Mytilus edulis: one gene and its partners. The protein of the gene in region 1 purifies or fractionates together with the protein of each later gene. This does not show direct contact. Links are inferred from orthologs where the notes say so. Each region holds a gene or a part of one and is shown in the gene's direction. Other genes may lie near its edges.

Evidence for each region.
Region 2: the proteins of intraflagellar transport protein 81 homolog (region 1) and intraflagellar transport protein 74 homolog purify together in Homo sapiens (affinity purification with mass spectrometry; 3 studies listed by BioGRID and IntAct, counting the BioPlex papers as one, with this or other methods). This does not show direct contact. The link is inferred for Mytilus edulis from reciprocal best matches to the Homo sapiens genes IFT81 and IFT74.
Region 3: the proteins of intraflagellar transport protein 81 homolog (region 1) and intraflagellar transport protein 88 homolog fractionate together in Homo sapiens (co-fractionation; 3 studies listed by BioGRID and IntAct, with this or other methods). This does not show direct contact. The link is inferred for Mytilus edulis from reciprocal best matches to the Homo sapiens genes IFT81 and IFT88.

What each region holds. Positions count from the first base shown.
Region 1 is NC_092346.1:86,979,869-86,987,210, reverse strand, and holds the start of intraflagellar transport protein 81 homolog, read left to right. Parts: upstream 1-4,339; 5' UTR 4,340-4,409; exon of another isoform or gene 4,410-4,478; intron 4,479-7,342. Other genes in the region: signal peptidase complex subunit 2-like, read right to left, coding at 4,108-4,140. UniProt on the Homo sapiens protein: Component of the intraflagellar transport (IFT) complex B: together with IFT74, forms a tubulin-binding module that specifically mediates transport of tubulin within the cilium. Binds tubulin via its CH (calponin-homology)-like region.
Region 2 is NC_092347.1:2,125,700-2,133,689, reverse strand, and holds the start of intraflagellar transport protein 74 homolog, read left to right. Parts: upstream 1-4,879; 5' UTR 4,880-4,985; coding exon 4,986-5,031; intron 5,032-7,990. UniProt on the Homo sapiens protein: Component of the intraflagellar transport (IFT) complex B: together with IFT81, forms a tubulin-binding module that specifically mediates transport of tubulin within the cilium. Binds beta-tubulin via its basic region. Required for ciliogenesis.
Region 3 is NC_092353.1:50,393,761-50,400,852, reverse strand, and holds the start of intraflagellar transport protein 88 homolog, read left to right. Parts: upstream 1-4,020; 5' UTR 4,021-4,055; intron 4,056-4,306; exon of another isoform or gene 4,307-4,457; coding exon of another isoform or gene 4,458-4,551; intron 4,552-5,879; coding exon of another isoform or gene 5,880-6,003; intron 6,004-6,654; coding exon of another isoform or gene 6,655-6,762; intron 6,763-7,092. Other genes in the region: transaldolase-like, read left to right, coding at 4,458-4,551, 5,880-6,003, 6,655-6,762. UniProt on the Homo sapiens protein: Positively regulates primary cilium biogenesis. Also involved in autophagy since it is required for trafficking of ATG16L and the expansion of the autophagic compartment.

The sequences.
Region 1 (7,342 bases):
TAATACACCATTCCCCATGCCTATATATACATTGTACAATTTTCAAGACTAATTTAATTCCGAGAGTTTTCACTCGTATATCATCATGTTTTAAAATGACATTAATGCAGCAAGAGCTTCTGTAAAGTTTAGAAAAAAGAATTTAAATTGGATTGTTTTAAAACTCTAATTAATGCAGTAAAATAAGAATATTTGTTCAGAGAAATGACAAATTGTCTAAGTAGACTGAGTATAATAAGTCAGGCCAAAATTCTAAGTTCAAATGGGCATAAGGCATAGAACACAAATTGATCCACAATTTCATGTTGATATGCACATCTACATGTACATACAATCAAGGATTTGTATAGTGCTCAGTATACAAATCCTTGATACAATGTACAATAATAGTATGTCATTATTTTCAATTCATGAATTAACATTTATGATTTAACCTTACATAGTTTTTTTTATATAATTCTATGAAGTATAGTGAAAGGCTTTTAAATCTATCAAAATATTTATTACCCTGTACATAATAACCTATAGTCAAATCTGAATTGAGCTTAACATGGTCCATGCACATGATAAACAATGGTAGACTATTAAGAACTGTCCACTAAACCATCATGCAAAAAAAAATGAGAGATCAATCCTTTGTCCAAAGTAAAGTGTTGACACTTGTGTATTAAAAACTTAATTTTTCAAGACATAAACAATATTTATTATGAGATAATCCAGCATGCATGAAAACCTTTGAGATTTGATAGAATTTTGTGTAAATTTCCTATATTGGAAAAGAACTAATGGAGAATACAAATTTCAAATAGTTAACTAATTTCTAAGTATCAAATAGTAATGATAGTACAGTCCACTTTCTTTAACAAAATTCATTTGCATTTTCATCTACAAATGTACATGTATATGGTGCTCTACAGATTGATCTCTGAAACTAAAAACTAACCTGTTCTGATTCGTTCTACAATTACAAAAGTTCAAATGAATAAATAACATTCCTTAAAAGCCATATTATCAAACCATATATATATCTTTATTAGGATGGAGTTTTTTTTCTTGGTATAAAATGAGATGAGGGGTTTACACTGGCTGAGACAGCATTGAACCCTATCATAAAATGCTAATATACTCTTGGTTAATATACTGTTTCAACATACAGCAGTTGCACATATCCATACAAATATGGTAAGCACTTAATTTGTTCCAGGTCTAAAAATGTAGTAACTATTAAATGTCAGCACAGTCATATACTAAAATATATTTTCTATCACTCAAGATTCATTGAAATAAAATTTAAACAAAATTTGTTCACCTGTAATCCCTGTATTTTCAATTAAAAAATACTGAACCACATATTTTTTTGATGTGGCCTTAAGGTCCAACCGTTAATTATATGGGGACGAAGTCCACAATTATGGTAGAAAAGTCAATAAAAAAAAAATTTAAAAAAATCGGGGAAAATTTCCAGAATTTTTCATTCTACTTATGAACTCAAATCGTTAACTTTCTTTTTCAGATCTACTTCCTGTTCCGGTTTTCCCTGCATTTGCGCAAAAAAATCTACTTTCCTTTCCGGTCTTGTTTGAATAAGACTTGGAATAAAATATATATTTATCAGTCTAGTAAAACATAAGATTGGAACTCAATACAAATTCATTATTAATAATTGTTTGATATGAAAAAAATGTTACCTGTTGAAAGCGTTTCTTTTGTTTACATTTAATATGATGTCATAACTTAAAGAATGTTACAGCTAAATCCCTTACAACAGAACCAAACTCGGAACGTACGGTGTTTCCGTTTCTTTTATTAACATGTTTGAATTTAAATAAAAATAAAAATACAGACTTCGTCCCCATTCACAGGTTATGCCTGCCTCATATTATAAAATAAAGCTATAACAGCTGTACATGTATACCAGAAGAAGAAGAAGACTCAAATTATAAGGAGCATGATGTATTCTTCGCAATGGCAAAAAATCATTCATTATATATAGGAAAAAAGGTTACAGCACATAGTTAATGCATCAAAAACAGAACGGTGTAACTTTTAACAGAAGTGCAACCTCCTGATTCATGTAACATACATTGTAAGCTGAAAAGTAAAATCAATCATGCAAACTCCACCTGTTAAAATTACCCTCAGGAACTGATCAGCTAGAACCTTATTTGGGCTGATTCAGTGGGGACAGAAATGTTCATCCCACTTTATAATAAGAAACTTATGAAAATTGAATTGAACTGTACCCTTGGAAGGGCTGTGAAACTGTATCTCAACTTTTTGTTACATTTTTTGGATAATTTGCAGACCGATTTGACTACATGTAGATGATGATGAAACAATGTGATGATTTTACCAGAATTCCAGTTCCACAGCTACATGTTCCAATAACACCATTTTTTTCATCGTTTAATATTGTCAAAAGGACAAAAAAAACAACCTTTCATCGATCCCTAGATCAGCCCTGACTGGAAATTGTTATTTGTTTATCTGATCAGTTTTAAATGAGATTTGAAAGATTCTCATCACTACAGTAGACTAGCTCTATTGGCTGTTGAACAACTTGATCATAGACAGCAATCATACCAGTGTTCTCCCCAGGATTTTTTTAAGGCGCAAAATTCAAGGGCGCGTAACTCCTTTTTTGTAGTGAACTTTTGTGATCTGAATCAATCAGTCATAAATCATAACATGCAATATTGCTTTGTGTTGTGTGTTTAATAATGCAGAGAATAAATGAATTTATACAAGAAATGAATAATATACTATATTTATGAAATAAATTGATTTTAAACACAAAAGTTATTTATATTCAGTCAATTAAAGAAGTCAAAATATAAATATTCATCTCTGTACTCTCTGCTACTTCTAGGGATATTGTTTCAAGATAGTGTTATTTTGTTTATTTGTTGATTGTCACATAATATGTTCCAGACGCACGGACTCACGATCGATGTTCAATGATCATTTTATTTCTAAAAATATGACAGTTTGAAACGAATTTACCTTGCAAGCAACATTTTTCACTTTCAATTAAAATAAATTACTTCTCGTTATCTTTAATTAAAGTTTATTTTAATTTTTTCAACAACAAATACTCTCGTTCATAATTTTCATCGTAAATATCTTTAGCAATGTGTATTCAAATCTATAACGTGTATTGAACACGTTCATTGGTCGTGTTTCAATAGATTCTTCTTCTCGACCAATGCAAAAAATTCGTTATATAAATGGTCAAGTAAACACACACACGATGCTTAAATACAATGTATTTGCGATCTATTTCTTCAATTTCTGCACTGAAGATTTTAATTTTTTTAATTTTCTTCTGAAAATATCTATCTTCTTGATGATCATTTACGCTATTACATGATAAGTTAACATAGTCCAATACGGCTGAGATAAGTGTGGCTCAGGTAAAACTATATTATCAGATATTGCGTAACACTGACCGACCTCTCTTCTTCTTCCAGCGGTGATCAGCAACTTGACAATTTTAACCAACATTTATAATGAAAATGTGAAAATTAACACGCTGCGGGATCAAGTAGTAAAAGCGGCCAATTAAGACGCTGCTGGATTAACAAAAATATTATGAAGGCGCTGCGGCACCGCACCGTCATATCGGCCTGGGGAGAACACTGATACCACCACATCATTTATATATATTTAGCTTTAATACACCTTATCGCTAATCCCGGCTGACCAGGCCGCTTGAACCTTTGACGTCAACAACAATCACTTTTCCATTGTGGCGTCAGATATTTTGTTTTATGACGTCAAAATTTTACGGGAACCTGTGTGATTTCTAGCAATGGCGGACAAATAGCGATAAGGTGTATTTTGCACAGGCACTTGTTTCTATCCATACGAAGGTCGACTATCCATATAAATAGATGTATATGTATAGTCGACCTTCGTATGGATAGAAACAAGTGCCTGTGGTATTTTGCTATAAAGGCAATATTTTCCGCATATGGAAAGTGATTTCCCGAATTTCAACGCAATACCATTGTTCAAACAGGCATGCAACTTGAAAAACAGATTTTGAAAATGTTTTGTGTGTTGTTTAAATTACAAAATTTCTCATCATTGCTAAAGAAAAATTACTTTGTCCATCAAGCCGGTCTTTTTTGAAGCCATCTCAAAAATGAAACAGGAAGTACACGTATAGAAGGAGACTAATCGAAAACCAAATAGTGTATACTTAATATTAAATAATATACTATCAACTCTATTTTGGTGGTCATATTTATAATAATAATTAGACTCTCATGTTAATTAACTAAGAATATTTGGAGACAAAGTAATATGTAATTTATAAAAAATAGTTAGAGATTATTAAAAAGGTAACCGGAAGTTGTGGTAAATTCCATAGAGAAATTTATTTTGGAGAACAGATTAGAAGATAGGTATGGTTTTTTGAAAGTTTCATCTTTATGGGAAAAGAAAATGTGATAGACGTAACGTAAAGGCATAAAGTAAAGATAATTCTGCTAAGTTTGAAATTTGTTTTAGGTATTCTTATATGAAACAAGCGTTCTGTCTTCTGAATATACCAATTTACAGGCAATAATGCTCTTGTTGATTCATGAGTGGATTTATTGATACAATAAACTTTGGTTTTATAACTATTCCCCAAACGGTTGCACTATTTTCCAAAGAATTTCAATTATTTCAGATTATTGAATCAAAATCTGTGTTGATGATCAGATCATATATACATTGATCAGCTTCTGTTAAGCCTCGGTCACACCTTATGGGATAGCAGGAACGGAACCAAACAGATGAAAATGAAAGTTTTCAGTTGAAAAAATTATTATCCGTTGGGAGTCTGTTGATGTACTGACAAAATAAAACGGACGTATCGAATGCATTATGGACACACACAGATATTCAATGTACGAGAAACGGAAATGTACCGGACAGAACGGATGTCAAATGTACATCCAACGGACGAGTACCACATAAAAATGACACCTTAGGGAAGCGTACCGGATAAAACGGATGAACAAGATATACAGAAAAATTAAAAGCGACAATAATAAAACATGTAAATCATAATATGAGGCAGGCATTACCTGTAAATGGGGACGAAGTCTGTATGAATTATTTTTTTGTAACTTACATTTATATATTTGTTAAGAAAAAGAAACGGAAATACCGTAACGTTTCCGATTTTGGTTCTTTTGTTAGGGATTTTAGTTGTGACGTTATTTAAGTTATGACGTCATATGCAATGTAAACAAAGAAACGCTATCATCAGGTAACGTTTTTTCATATCAAGGAATTATTAAAAATGAAATTGGTATTGCGCATTCCTTCCTATTTTATACTAGACTGATAAATATATATTTTACTCAAAGTTTCATACAAACGAGACCGGAAAAAGGAAGTACATTGTACATTTCTGCGCAGGTCCGGGATTTCAAAACATGACATAAAAAAAATTGAACGATTTTGAGTTCATTAGTACAATGAAAAATTCGGGAAATTTTCCCGATTTTTTTTTTATTGAATTTTCTACTGTTATTGGGGACTTCGTCCCCATATAAATATTCAAAATTGATCTGTGTATATAAAAAAGAAGATGTGGTATGATTGCCAATGAGACAACTATCCACAAGAGACCAAAATGACACAGACTTTAACAACTATAGGTCACCGTATGGCCTTCAACAACTGTGTAACTGGTTTTGGTTTTTTCTTCAAAAAAGTGTTTGGCCTGAATAAGAGCTGCTTGAATGTGAAGACGTGCTTTTACTCTTATTGCCCTCTAAGATCTATTATGAATAATAAGAATTCATGAACCTTAAGAAATCTATTTGGCATTTCTGACGCAGCATTTTCAATTGGCATTTATCCGTTTCGGATCCGTTCAGTATCCGTTGTACGTCCATTCAAAGTTGTGAACATACTCAAAATTTTCCACCAGACAGAACGGAGTTGACGGATAAAACGTACGCTAAACGGAAATGCAACTGATATGGACGGACGTCTAACGAATAAGAACAGACATGAACGATTTGAAAAAAAGTTATCTGTTAAGGTGTGACTGAGGCTTAAGAGAAAAGCCAAAGAATCTGGGTCTGTTTGGGCCCATTCACTTTCGCACCCTACACATTCCTGCCCAAATTTTTTATTGGTTTTGTGTTTAGTGACTTTGTTATCAAGTTTTGGCAAGTGTATTCCTATTAGTTAATTTGTTGTCATTGTCTCAAAGTAAAGTAAACCAACGTTTTTTTTGTGTTGAATAAATCTTAATCAAGTTTTGGATAGTGTATTGTAAAAAAAAATTAATCAGTTTCTAAATAAAGTGAGATTCTGTCAACAATTTTTTGTTGTTGTGTTGAATAAATCTTAATCATGTTTTGGTAAGTGTATTGCTACATGTATAACATTTTTTAATTATTTCAAAATAAAGTGAGATTCTGCGTTTTTTTTTATGTTTGTTGAATACATTTTAATCATGTTTTGATTTGTGTATTGCTATAATTTTTTTGTTTCATTGTTTCAGATCAAAGGAGCCAAACTGTTAAAAACAATTATCTTTTGTGTTTTTCATTTAAAATTAAAAAAAATTTACTCAGACCAAGCTTTATGCAGTATTTTACATGAAAGTAATTTAAAACAACAATTATGATTTTCTAATTATTCAACAAGAATTTGCTTTAAGATTGGGAGCGAACGAATAAATGAACCTTGGGTGCGAAAGTGTATTGGGCACGAACAGACCTAATACCAAAGAAAAAGGAATCCATCTTATTGCTATTTGAAAATCTGTCCCGCTTTACTCAAAAATCTGTTCGCTTGAATTTTTGACGTCATACAACAATAACTTTTCTTTTGGGGCGTCAAATATTTTCTATTATGATTATGACTTAAAAAAAAATCAGCATTTTTTGTGATGTCCATGGCCAATAATGCCTATGGGCAGACAAATAGCAATAAGGTGTATTGTCTTTTTTACCACCATTACTGGCCATGGACATCTAAAATAATACCATAATATTTTGACATCACAATACATGTATCAGATTATATCTGATGCCACAATGGAAAAGTGATTGTCGTTATACAGACTTTTCAAGCTTTTATTCTACATTCCTTCACATTTTTGAGATGATTTTTTATTATGTTAGTTTACACTAATGGGTTACAGATCAAGTTTAAGTTTGATTCCGCATAGCTGATTTTTGCTGAAATTACTGCATGTTTTACAGGTTAATTTGTGAAAATTATCAACTTTTTGTTAACAAATTTCCACACCTAAAAATGGCTTCACAAATGTAACAACATGCAATGTAACACCTTATAAGTAATCAACATGTAAATGTACATAGAC
Region 2 (7,990 bases), on another chromosome or scaffold:
TGACTTAATTAGCAGGGTAGCTTAAAAATCTAGAATTTTTTTAAAGAATTTTTTTTTAATAGATGATTTATCATTTAGGAGATAACTGTATTGTATTTTAAGCTCCGACGGCATCAATTGGGGATTTGATGGTCGCAAATTAAGTTTACTGGCGACGCGTAAGCGGAGACAGTAAATGGGTATTTGCGACCATCAAATCCCAAATTGATGTCGTTGGACCTTAAAATACAATATTGTTATCTCCATTCTAATGAAACTGACAGAAAACAACGTTGATGCCATGTAAGAAAGTGACGTTATCCAATCAAAATGAAAGTTACAAACGTTGTTGCATTAGCAATGATTAGAATAATCCATTTAATTTAAGATAATCATTAATCGGTATAAATTACAAAGTAATTTGGTATTATTGTTATGTGTTGATGTAAAATAAAATACAAGTAGCTACATGAAGCTTTATAGGAGGACCAATCACTTTACGATTGTGGCGTCAGATATTTTGTATTATGATGTCAAAATTTTACGGGAACTTGTGTGATGTCCAGTAATGGTGGACATATACAAATGTAGCTAAAAGGCTATTCGCTTATTGCTATTCGTGGCTGACCAGAGAATATGTATCGCTTGAACTATTGACGTCATACAACAATTGCTTTTCCATTGTGGCGTCAAATATTTTGTATTATGACGTCAAAATTTTACAGGGACCTGTGTGATGTGCAGCAATGGTGGACAAATAGCGATAAGGTGTATTGACATTAATGTACAGTGTCAGTGATTTTAATAAAAATTCTACATTCTATGTGTGTTGCTGTTGACAGTCACACTGGATTGTCTCTCTTGTAAATATTCAAGTCTTGTATGTACAATTTTCACTCTGGTAAACAACTCACTTGTAACTTAAAAATTCTGCCCAACTGATTCAATGTCAATGAATGATTGCCATTTGGTCAACCTTTTTGCACTAACGTCGATCTGCTGAATTATCATTGACACACCAAGAGGACTCTCATTAGTAAAAAGAAACAAATTATCGCGGTCTGTTTCCGACCTCAAAGAATGTGACATAAACTGCAGTTATCTGTAATTGAATATTGAACTATATATGACATATATAGAGTGGAGGTGTCAAAACAATCACCTCTTTCATAAACGTTACGTTTGCAAAAGCATACTCTACTTATATGAGTGAAGACTTGCCGGGTTAAATCTGAGACAAGGGCAACACTGGCTTTCATTTAAAATGCAATGTGAATGGTGGTTACCTGGAGGTAGATAAAAACACATAACTTTACGTGATTTCCAAAACACTATCCTCCATGTTGTTTAAAAATGGTGGAGGTAAATCACTCACTTTAAAATTTTCTTCTTCCGCACTATTTTTTTATAACCATTTCATAGACCAAAGTTTGGGAAATGACGGGCAATTTATGAAACTCAAACGCTTTCATAACTTTATAATTTTCTGAACATAGTTTGTTTGTTTTTGCGCGCAAGAAAACCATTTAATATTTTGAGAACGCGTATTGATATGCGTTGCTGAGTAACCCCACATAAATAAAGGGACAACTTGATTGTGCATGTATATGAAATTCGCTAAAGAGCCGGCGTCAATCATAAAAAAAGTAGCTTTTTGTTCTATGATCTTTCATTACAGTCTTATTCAAAGTAAAGATGACCAAATAAACAACATGTATGGTAAAATATCATACAGCATTGTACTGCATTATTTTTTTTATGAAAATATTAAATACGAAAAACAAAAACAGGAAAAGAGGTCCCTGCCTCAAGCACCTGTGGTATTGACTTTAAGTAAAACTGTATATTTAATTTTATTTTGAAGCATATACGAATCTTAAGAGACTAAGGCAAAAATAAATCCGACTTTGTTTGATTGCTCACCCAATCATAACAGATTTTGAGACACGGAACAACTGTCATACGTACATTACAAGTGTGAGGTTTAGCGACCTATAAAACAAGATTAAACTGTCATAGAAGTGGGAGGTTTAACTTCCTTTACAGAAAAAAAAATGTAAAGCATTATTTTCTTCAGAACATGTCTGTACCAAACCAGGACTATTATTGTTATTTTTTACTCGTTCTGGTTTTTTTTATAACGTTTGACTCGTAATGGTCATGAGTTTTGTGGACTTTTTGATTAATTTTATATGGGACAGGAACATATATATATATATATTATACGAAACAAAACAGAACAATAAAAAAAGACATACATAGAAACATTGTTCTAGATGATAAGATACACACAGATAAGCTATCTGTTGCTGGAATGTCTTGTTATAAAAAAAAACTACTAGACAAGACATCTACAATCAGATACCATAACACCTGACAATTCTAATTGATAACATATGCTTTACCTTTACTTAATGTTTGTTTCATTCGAATTCCCGGGGCAATTATTTCCGGTATCAATATCAATACTTTTAAAATGAAGCAAAAAAAAAACGTATTTAGGCAAATTGATAAAAAATCTAACGATATCACTTGAATTGCAATAGAAGATATTTCTTATAGATTCCCAAATCCTCACTGAGCAAATTTGATTCGTCGTCAGTTCCATTTAACTGTAAAGTAGATAATTATCTGTTGAAAAGGTGTTCTTCTATATCTGCCAACTCTCTATGAGTAATTTGCTACTATAAATTCTCACATTTACAATTTGTTATGGTCTAGCAGTGAATTTTAATGCAAAATTACGATACGTTCTTCAGGAAATACCAAATTTGTTATACAAAATAAAGCTTTGTTTCTAGCCGTTGCTGTTGCTGTAATGTTGAATATATTGAAAATATTTTATTGATATTTGAATAAATGTAACATCATACGCAATTATGTGAATTGCTACATACAGTTTCATCTACTTGGAAGATTTTTTTCTAAGTTCGTGTAATTTAACCAATGAGTGATATCAGGAAATAAACTCCATTTTATATGGAACTTGATTAAATATTAATATAAGAAAGTCTCCTCAATTAAGATTACAGATTTTTATAGAACATAAATGCAATGTAGATACTGAGTAATTAGGGTCTCAGATTTGAGCCCTGTGTTGTACTTGAAGTCTTTACATGGCGTCGGTACTAATGTTCAGAACGCCGCTTACTTTAAGATAGTTTTAGCTATCTATAAAACCTGGTTTAATCCACAATTTTCTACTTAAGGAAATGGCTGTACCAAGTCAGGAATATGACAGTTCTTATACATTCGTTTTGATTTGTTTGAGCTTTTGCGGCTATTTGATAAGGGACTTTCTGTTTTGAATTTTCCTCGGAGTTCAGTATTTTTGTGATTTTACTTTTTAAGCTACTGTTTCTGTTTTTAAAAAGAATTTATGGAGATCAGTTGATTTGAAGATATAATATTATATATACAATTTATTTAATCCCCAGTCACATCAAACCAAGATGTCAAAATTCATGAAAACAAAGACTAGTTTGAGTCGACAAATCCTTGGAGTCGAATTCAGAAATTTCAATGCGTTCAGGATGGTCGACCTTTTTTTCACACAGTCTATTAGGGACGACATCAAAAGATCGATATAGGATAAAAAAACTAAAACTTAAATCAAATATTTTGGGGGTGGGGGGCCAACATTTCTGCAAGTTTTGTTAATCCAAAATCGATTTTACATATATCCATATAGGGAAATCGATTTTTCCCAAATTAAGTTAAAAAAATGGGGGGAAGGGGGGGGGGGGGGGTCAGCGAAAAAACTATGTGAATTAAGGTTTTTTTTTATCCTACATTGAACTTTTGATGTCGTCCCTTACATCGGTGACCAAGCACACTAAAACAGTCTAGCCCAGGCCGCTGATACCTTACTAAATTAAATAAATTAACCATTTTCCACATATTTATTTTATCTAATTTTAATTTTTGTCCTTTGCCATGGCATTTTTGCAACAAAAATAACAACACTAAATTAGAAAAAAAAATCAGGAAAGGGCTTTACGATTTATATATGAAGACTATACTAGTTCATATGATGAGCTACTTTTACGAGCAAAGGTTTCATCACTGAAAATAAGACGTATGTGTAACATGATTATTGAATGTATCAAACTTTTATATAGATTCATTGTCACCACCATATTTACATGATTTAGTTGTATTGAAAGATTGTAAATATTATTTTAGATATTTTGATATTGTAGATATACCTAGGGTCCGAACATCAAGAACTCTTTTAAATACACAGCTACTGTTTTATGGAATGATCTACCTGATGATAGTAAAAAAAATGCTAATTTTAGTCAGTCAGTCAAAAATATTTTAAAGTCATGGAATGGAAATGACTGTAAGTGCACTGTTTTTGCAGATTTTAGTTAATATATTATGCTAAAAAGTTATTTACCATTTAGATCATACCCCTTTTTTTATAATATTTTAAGCTATCATGCATTATACCAGCTTTTATGCCTAGTTTACACTTATATATGCTTTTAGCTTTAATATCTAGCTTATACTTATATTCTGCTTTTTATCATCATGCTTTTTAGTGCTTCATTTTGTGCTGTGTAATTTATTGCATGTGTATGATGTGTTGTATTGTTATAAATGTCTTTGTATGTCGGTTAATGCTTATTAGAGCTTAATTTGTCTCTGTTTGTATACCTTGCCGACTCTAAATAAAACTTATTTATTTATTATTTATTTATTTATTTATTTATTCCGAACTTCTGTTTAGTAAATTGCATTTCATAATCAATATCAATTTTAATTGAAGTTATAGTTTATTTAATGAGCTATCAAAATCAGTTTCCATTATCAAGTCATGTTGATCTGTTTAAGAGAAATAACTTGAACATTGTAAAGTTTCGCTTTTATTTTTCGACTTCCTCATTTTAGGTCCTCCACTTTGCCGGATATGCTGAAAGTCCAAATCAAGTGACAACATTCCTACAACCTGCTTCCTGTCAACAGTAAACTATAACCATAAAGTTTATTATTAAAGAGAAATGGCTGGAAGATTACCCAGTGCCGGTGGCAGTAGACCTAGAACAGGTGCTTAAATAACCAACCAAACACATGCGACAACCATGCTTCTTTTTCTCACTCAACAATTTCTTTTATTTCGGGATCTTTACTCTTTCAAAAATGGGGGGATGGTATGAAGGTTTTCGTACATGTATTATCATTATTGTTATGTTGTGGATCTAATGTAGTTAAAAATCACACTAACTACTTTTAATTTAACAGTCAATCGTTAAAACATACCTATTAGCACAATAGAGTAGAATTTATAAGTTATATCCATGTCTGCCATCATAATGGACTTTTCGCCACATATTACAGGTAAAAATATAATTTCCCCGTCACTATAATCCGCTTCTTCAGAATCATCTTGTCGGTGAAAGATCGGAGTAAGACTTGATTGTTCAAATAGTAATTTAATAATGGCTACAAAATATACAATTGGTAGCGACGTTACGTAACAAGTAAATGTCCCGAAGGTTTGTGCGTGACGTTCCCGGAATAATCACAGATATTACATTCCTCCTTAACTTTGAATTAGAAAATGACTTTATAAATGTAAATTAAAATGTGTAAAATAAAGTTTGTTTACATTGATTTAATTATCACAGTCTCTGTATTGTTCACTAATGTTTTTGTAATAACTAAAAAATAGATGTTCACTTTCTCAATTTGTATAAATTATAATAGTCTCTTAAATGTTCACTAAATTGTATCGGTCTCCTGGTTCTTCCGCTTTATGTTTCAGTCCTGGTTTCCTGACTGTTGTCTCTGTTTTCCAAAGTTCTCTTTGTCCGCCCCCTCCCGCGCCTGTCTTGGGGGGGGGGAGGGGCCATAATTTTGAATGTCCACTGCCCCCTCCCGCGCATGTCTTGCGGGGGCCCATTTTCTTCATCTTCTTGTTTCTGTTTTCAGCATACCCTTTGATTTTCTCCTTGCATTGTCTGTCTCTTTCATATAAGTTTGAGTGATATATCTTCTATGGATCTCCTGTTTAGCTGTTTTAGTGTTTTTCTTTTTTAACTTATTTGCTCTGTTTTGTTGATGGGTTTCCTAAATAAGTTAACTTCTTTATTTGCTATTTGGCGTCCTGGTGTGACTTGGTGGTGTTTAAATCCCTTATCAATAGCAAGTTTCTCAGAGTTGAAAGGCGGTCCACTGTCTGGTATTCTTAACTGGTTTGTCTTTACAAAAGAACCATCAGTTCTAATCTGTATCATCCCTAGCTCAATCAGAGTGGATTTGCTTAGCAAGGGTGGAGAATTGATTTTTTCCTTTTACAACAATAAATTTTGTCTCTGTGCCACATGTTTTGTTTCTTATGATAGTTTTAAATTCTCCCTTGATTGGTAATGAATTTTGCAGTGTGCTCAACTTGATTTTACTCTTTTCTAATACTGGATTGCCGTATGTTTTGCTCTGAAATTTTACAAATTGATTTTCATCCATTACATTTACATCAGCTCCACTATCAGGTTCCAACTTCACATCTACGTCGTCTATTCTTATTGTCACTGTTTTGTCTTTTGATGCATACAACAATCACTTTTCCATTGTGGTATTAGATATTTTGTTTTATGACGTCAAAATTTATCGGGAACCTATTTGATATCCAGTAATGGCGGACAAATAGCAATAACGTGTATGCTTCTATGCTGATATTTAGCCAGTATTTGAAATCATCTCTGGAACAACAAGACCACCTGTTTTAATATGATCTCCACTGAATAGGTTGACATGCTCTACAATGATTCTAACTACTTTTTTTCGGTGGCAATATGTACTGTAAGAAACCAACTTATTTTCGAGAACAATTTATTTTCATGACTTTGGCAAGTGAAAAAATGAGGCGAATACAAAAATAGAGCGAATAAAAATCATTGTAAATATGTAAAACTTGGATATTTCCTTATTAAACTACACCAAAAAAATTAGAAAATTGCCAAATTTATAGATAACCACAAAGTGGACTAGAGAGGTTAAATATGAAATAAAGTATCCATGAAAATAAGTTGATTTACAGTATTGGCAAATGATTGGGGCTCTTTGAGAAAGTCTAGGATACAATTTTGGTTTCTCAATAATCAACATTTTATGAAGCATATACATTTGGTACAGTCCTTGCTTAAGGAGGCTCGAGGGTATAAAAATTTTAGAAAAAATTAAACATTTGTTTTTCACTACAAATTTTATTTATTACCTTTTGTAGTTGTTACTTTATCATATGGTACAAAAATCATTCAAAACAATCAATTCGTGTTGGCCCCAGATGACATTTAAAATGTGTACATCATTGAAATAGTTCCAAATTATCTCCCTTTGGTGGAAAAATGCCCTTTTTTGGCTTTAAAATTGAAATATCTTTTTTAACTCATCGGTGACATATATTTTTTAATATAATTTCCATATAAGCTGTACTTAAACTAAATTATTGTAAAATTTGAGCGATTTCTGTAATAAATTTCTTTTTTTATTTCGATATTACCTATATTTCTCCTATTACTTCAACCACCTTTACAAAAATGTATGCTTCTTTCGAAGGCAGATTGTGAGCGCAAATGAACGGTGACCCCACTTTTTTATTTTAATTTTCTATTAACTATAAGATAAAGTTCATTTATAGAAAAATATAGAGAAATCCTATATAAATGATTTAGACCCGCGAACCCCCTTAAGTCATATATTGGCAAAACATGTATCCCAATTACAAACATGTAAAACATTGGCAATCATAGTACATGTGTCCCTCCTAGCATACTGTTTCAAATCTTTAAATAAAAATGTTTTGTCTCAATGAATGTGATTTTGGTTAGCATCACACTATCAGTTGGCAGTGCTAGCATTTCACTTGTTTGGTTCTGTTTGGATGGAAAATATGGCAGCAGAGGCATCAGGGGTTAAATTTTTTTGTAAAAGCTAACTAGCCCAGGACTTATTGGCAGCAGGATTTTACTAGCCCTGTCGGAAGAACTGCTAGTCCATCAAAACT
Region 3 (7,092 bases), on another chromosome or scaffold:
TTTATAAGTATGTATGTTTTTAAACTTATAACATGCATATCACCTATGAAAATCAGAGATTTTGTGTCATGATTAAAAAAAAAATATCCATTCTTACCGTTTCTGTAAATTTCTCATAGAACAAGAAAAGTTTGAATTAAATTTTTTTGTTGAGAAAAAAAATCGTTTCCGAAATTAATAGCATCATGATGAATTATCTATGATGCGCTTATTGAATATATCTCAATACAAACATTATGAAATATTACTATCTGTACAATATCTTATTTTGCGCAATTGCAGTAAGGTACTGCAGTATATATCATTATGATGATATTTTTACGCAAAATAGAATTTAGTGATGCTGGCATTAGTTTAAAGGCAGGAGAAGTTTACCGATGTTTTTGTATATGTTATTGTTTATAATACATGTAATAATGTTTGTATTCTATACGCCCTCCTGGGGTCCTAATTGGTAAATAAAATTATTCTATTCTATTCTATACCCAAGCGCCTTTGACGTGTACATGGTGTATTTCCAATAAGTTTGTATGCTATACGCCCTCCTGGGGTCCTAATTGGTAAATAAAATTATTCTATTCTATTCTATACCCAAGCGCCTTTGACGTGTATTTCCAATAAATTTTTAAATTTCGTTTATCTATGAAGACGATACAATACAAGGTAAATCGAATGAACCCCCAAAAGGAACGAGACACGATTCGAGGCAATGTGCGCGAAAACGTATGATAACATCTCCATGCACACAAAAATAAATTGTGTCTACAAGAAACACATACAGATACGCTCCACTCCAAAAGATCTGAAAGCCATAATATGAAACGTTGGTGATTCAGAAAAAGGAAACAGAAAATTTTGAAGCTAACATAATTACAGGTCAAAGTTTCCTCTTAGATTTCATCAGTCTTAACTTAGGCGCAATTATATTACATAATGACCGTCATAAGTTGGGTACATTCAGTCATGATTTAACTATATAGCAACCACAAATCTTTTGGTTAACTGACATGCCGCCATCAATGTCAGCTGAGTTGCAAAAAAAAATTAAGTTTAAATAAAATGATCACACTTAAAATTAAAAAAATAGCGAGTAGCCTACCAATACCACATTCGAGCAAACCATGACCTTGGGTTGTTTAAACTTCTAGTATGTCATTTAATCTAATTTTTAATCAAAACCCATCTTCTCAATCTTATATTCATATGTTATCCTCTTATAGTTGCTGTGATTCCCTCGGTTTTAGTTTGTAACCCGGATTTTTTTTCTCTCAATCCATTTATGACTTTTGAACAGCGGTATATTAGGGACGACATCAAAAGATCAATGTAAGATAAAAAAAAAAAAAAAAACTTAATTCAAATAGTTTGGGGGTGGGGGTTGAACTGCTGCAAGCTTTGGTTATCCGACATTGATTTTTACATATATCCATATGGGTCAATCAAATTTTCCCAAATTAAGTCAATAGGGGGGTAGGGGGGTCAGTGAAAAAAACTATTTGAATTAAGTTTTTTATCCTTCATTGAACTTTTGATGTCGTCCATTACTGTTGCCTTTATTCAAAATTATCCATAATGATTATATAGTTATTCTTGAACCATTTGGGTTTTGGTTATTCTTTATCTTTTTTTTTACCATAATGCTTAAATTTGATACATCTATATCAGTATAAGTCCAGGATTATAATTATTGTCAAATGTGTGTTCAATATATTATTCAAATGAAAATGTGACATTTGCTCGCTTCAATCTGTTTGTAAAATCAGTCAAGTGAGAGATAATGAAGCATTCAGTTCAAATGAGATAGCAATTTAAAGCGGATGAAACATGTAGACAACCTGAGTTTATCTTTCTTTTAAAGAGAAAAACGATTAGATCCATGACAAAAGTTGTTCCTCTTGGTATACATGTAGTTGTAAGATGTTTGCCTGAGTTGATCCATCTGTATACGAATGGCAAAGTTATCTTTAACAGCATACTAGTCTTGTGTCTTGACAGTAGTTATAAAGGCGACAGTAATTTATCAATGTTCAAATATCGTATATCAATTAGTAATACACAATTAATAAGCTGAAAATCACACAAGTGCAAGTCATGATGATTCACTTCCTACTGACGTATCAAAAACTGTGTGTGCCGGAAAAATGTTTAAAGTCACATGATACTTCACTGAATTAAAACAAAGTTGAATATGTTTTATATACATTGATAACTTAGTTTTTATACTATAAAACAAGTGAACTTGGACTTCTTTTAAAGAAAATCCTAGTTTAAATCAAAATTTTCAATTATGTACTGATATAGAATTATTGTCTTTCCGTACTCGAATTCCGCCGATCTTTTTTACGTATGCAGTGACCCTAACAACAATATCTCTCGTTAAAAGCTCGCCATTTGCAAAGCGCAAGTGTACATATGAGTGGGAAAGAAAGTAAACAAACGTGCACATGGTGCAATAGGGAGGTTAATAGTAAATGATTCTTAAATAAAAAAATTAAATACTCCAAATCATTTAACAACTGTGATGAAAAGGTGTATATAATTAACAAATGGGATGCAAACTCGAAAGTTATAATCAGTTTACCGTCAACAAATTCAATCACTGAATATAATATGGGTGTCTAAAATACGTTATAGATTCGTAATAAGTCTTAATAATGAGCATTTGAGGACTTCATTCTGTATATATGTAGGACTCTAAAGTGCGATGGTCTACGCTAAAGTGCGATGGTGTCTCATGCTAAAGTGCAATAGTTGTTTGTTGCTAAAGTACGTGTGTTCATGCTAAAGTACGATGTTATATAACGATAAAGTGCAACGAATCAATTGGGGAAGGTTCGAAGGATTAAAACGTTGAAGTACATGGATGTTAAAAAAATAGTATTTTTGCAAAATCTAGTATGTTATTAAACATGTTAAAGGTATAACATATGTACATGTGAAAAGCTTTATAATTTATAATATACCGGTAGGCTTCAGTGATTGTTTTCAAATTTAGAAGACCGACCAAATAATAATTGCTAAAAAGGCATGCAACCCTGTGTAAACTTTGTTCAGAGCACTACGGTTAAATATTACACACTCCGCTACTTTTGCATAGACTATTTCTGTACTAAAAATATGTAGTACTGGAAATCTACTTTTAATATTCAGTACTATTTTGTTACTCTAAAATTATTGTAATATTTAGGTACATGTATTTTACAGTACTTTATTTGTACTTGAAATTAAGGTACTACAGATTTTTGGTTACTACCGTTACATTTTCAGCATTTTGAAAGTTTTTCTATTTCAAATCTCTTAAAGTTATGATTTTCAAACATGAAATATTGTGTTATTTCTGTACCAAAATATTTGGTACAAATCAAGTACTGTAAAATACAAGTACCTAAATATTACAACAGTTTTAAAGTAAAGAAATAGTACTAGATATTAAAAGTAAATTTCCAGTACTGCATTTTTAAGTACAGAAATAGTACCTATGCAAAAGTAGCTGTGTACATTGCATGTTATAGAAAATGGGAGTTTTGTGGCAAATAAAGACATTTTTTTTATATATCTGCGAACAAAACACGAACTTCATTACTATTCATCTATTTGACCATGAGGTGCTATGGTTTATTGTCTACAAAATTCATAAACAACCTAAAACAATAAAAAAAAAAAACTCGTGCTTAAATCACTAATCTAGAAGGTGTACTTGAATAAGTCCATTCTTTTTACTAGCTTTATAGATATAGCAGTGGTGTGAGTGCCAATGAGACAACTCTCCATCCAAATAACAATTTATAATAGTAAACCATTATAGGCGATTGTACGGCCCCCAACACGGAGCCTTGGCTCACACCGAACAACAAGCTATGAAGGGCTCCAAAATTACTAGTGTAAAACCATTCAAACGGGAAAACCAACGGTCTAATCATTATCTATATATATATATATATAAAAAAAAAAAAAAAAAAAATCTTTCGTTTATCTATTAAGCACAAAATATGTCACTCTAACTATAGGAGTACACGGAGAAAGGCTGCAGGTATATTTTTTTTTTTTTATAAAATGTGCATACGTCGTCACAAGCTAGGGTAACGAGTCTGGCGTAAATACAAAATCTAATCCTGGTATCTATGATGAGTTTTATTTAGTGATTTTTAAAATATTGTATTCTGCAGCTGACATGCTACTTAAAGAGCAACGCTTTTGTTTAAATATCTTATTTTCCTCCGTCATATTGCTGAAGTTGGAGAAGCTTTTTAGAAAGCTAACACTCGACGCTGTTAAACATGTCGTCTCCGAGTTTGTCCTAGTATTTATATTCAGGAAAGCGCTTCCGTCATTATGTCTGGTTCCTTGTCAGTGTTGCATGCCTAGCTCATCCAACATCAATAGCCTAACAGGTAAACGTTTGTCCCAAATTTTGCATCCTGATTTAGCGGAAATATTATTCACAGTAATATCCTGAGATGTCTGAGCCACAAACTAAAAAATCCGCCATGACAACACTGGACCAGCTAAAGGAATTAACTGTCATAGTTGCAGACACTGGTGATTTTGAAGGTAAATATTTTTTTTACATGACAAAAATTATGAGATCTTGTCCATGTTGTTGTCGCATGTCATTTATAAACATGTACAGTATACACAATATGATCAAGTTAATATGACACAGGTGTCCCAGTTACATATGGAAAAAAAGCAAATTCTGTAAAATATTAAGTAATTTACAACTATTGGAATTTTTTTTCAAATTGATTTAAAAATTTTCGTGATTCGTCAAAATATCCTTATCATGATTTGTCAAAGGTCTTAGTTCTAATTATCATTACCGTTTTTTTTTGGAAAAAAATTAATGTGATAAATTAACATATTTGTCAAAATCATTTGATTTTTTTTAGGCACCTTTTTTTATGCATATTTTATCGTTATGCTCCAAAAATTACCGTTAATGTCGTTTGGCAGGAATTTTTACTGTTATTCGTCATGAAGGTACCCCCATTACAACCCTCTTTTATACGTCTGTTTACAGGACGTATTATGGTATGTCTGTCCAGCATCAACATGTCGGAAAATAACTCAAAAACGGTTTAACGAATTGTCATGAAACTTTGGCATGTTTGGTGAATTATATATCTATTAACGTGTGATCCCATTTAATTTTCATAACTTTTACATTTGACATTGTAAGTTTTTAAGTTTTGGAGGGTTTGTTCGTTAAGAATAGGAGGATTTTCTAGTTTTTGAACAATACATGACATGTAACTCAAAATGGTTCAGCAATATGCAGGAAACTTTGGTGTATTGTTTATATCTATTGACATAAGCTCCCTTTCAATTTTTTTATCAATTTTATTATTTACGTTTCAGCGATTTTATTCATAAAAAAGGGGGGGGGGAGTGTTCATACAATGTGTTGAGCAGTTATCATGAAACTTTGGTTACTGGTTTATATCTATTTAGATAGCATTCCTTTAGTTTTCCTGAATATCTGATACACTGTATGACAGTGATAATTTTTTGTACTTTATTCTTTGAAAAAGCTATGGCCGCATCATGAGCTCATGGCACAGCTGTTTATTTATTTAATATCAGCAATGTCAACATTAATAGCGTTTTTTTTGTCACTGATCATGCTGATGAAGGTAAAGGTAAAGAACTTCTATAATTATATCAATTTTATATGGCTTCACTTGAGTGTCAAACAAACCGCTAATCAACAATGTTTACCTTTGGCAAACTGCTGTTATGTATTACATGTACTTTAAAAAGCTTTGTGAAATTGTGTATCTGAAAACACTTCAAAGTTCATGTTTAAAAATGTATACAGAGACAGAAGTTATATGTCATGTTTTAATTATTTATCAGAAGTTATTTAATTACTTTCATAGCTATGAAGGAGTATAAGCCTACTGATGCTACAACCAACCCTTCTCTGATATCAGCAGCAGCAAATATGCCAGCATACCAACATCTTATTGAAGAGGCTGTTACTTTTGCAAAAAAAAGTGGAGGGTAAAATTAAAATTAATACTTTGTTAAAATACAGCAATGTAAAGTGAGTCTTTTAATCAATGTAAAGCTAGAATGTAATTGATGAATATGTGATGAAGACTCATTTCAAAAGAAAAAATATGTACAATAATAAATGTCTTATATATTTATATGTTGATGAAATGCACAATTTGGTGTATCCAATTATCGATTATTGTTCTTTTTTTACATTACATTAAATTATAAAAAGTAATATCACAAAAATACTGAATTCTGAGGAAAATTCAAAACAAAGCCCCTAATCAAATGTCAAAGACAAAAGCTCAAACACATCACACGAATGGATAACAACTGTCATATTTCTGACTTGGTACAGGCACTTTTTTTATGTAGAAAATAGTGGATTGAACCAGGTTTATAGCTACATTTATAGCCTAACCTCTCACTTTATGACAGTCATATAAAAGTCCTTATGAATAGTATGAATAGTGAATTTTGAAATCATGACAAAAAAGAAAATAAACTGAAAAAGAAATATAAAAAAAAAATCATCATGCTGTGTAACTGTACTTTAAACATGTCTTTATTATAAGAGTAAAAACAGAAAGAAGACAAGGTATGTTTTTCTCTTTTAACAAACATAAAATATCTTTTTAAATTTTATTTCAATAGGACAATGGAACAACAAATAGAAGCTGCTATGGATAAGGTATATGTATTGTTTGGTTTAGAGATCCTGAAAATTGTACCCGGCAGAGTTTCAACAGAGGTTGATGCAAGGTATATTTTTTTTTTGCAGAAATTCAAAACATGTGTTCCAGTTAATTTTTGTCTTTGTCACTTTAATATGTACGGAGGACGCAAAGTGCCAATTTGATATCTGTACTTAAAATATAAATTGCAAAAGTCTATATTGCAGGCGGTTAGATATAGAATATGGAATAACGATTAATGAACCAGCCACTAACCTTGCAAACATTTTAAATATGTTATACTGTAAAAGCAGAAATTTTCGTGGAAAGAATATATCCACAAAATTAAAAAACCCACAAAAATTTAACCTAGGCCACAATTAAAAATATTTTGGTTTGTCCAAACCCTACCCAAGGT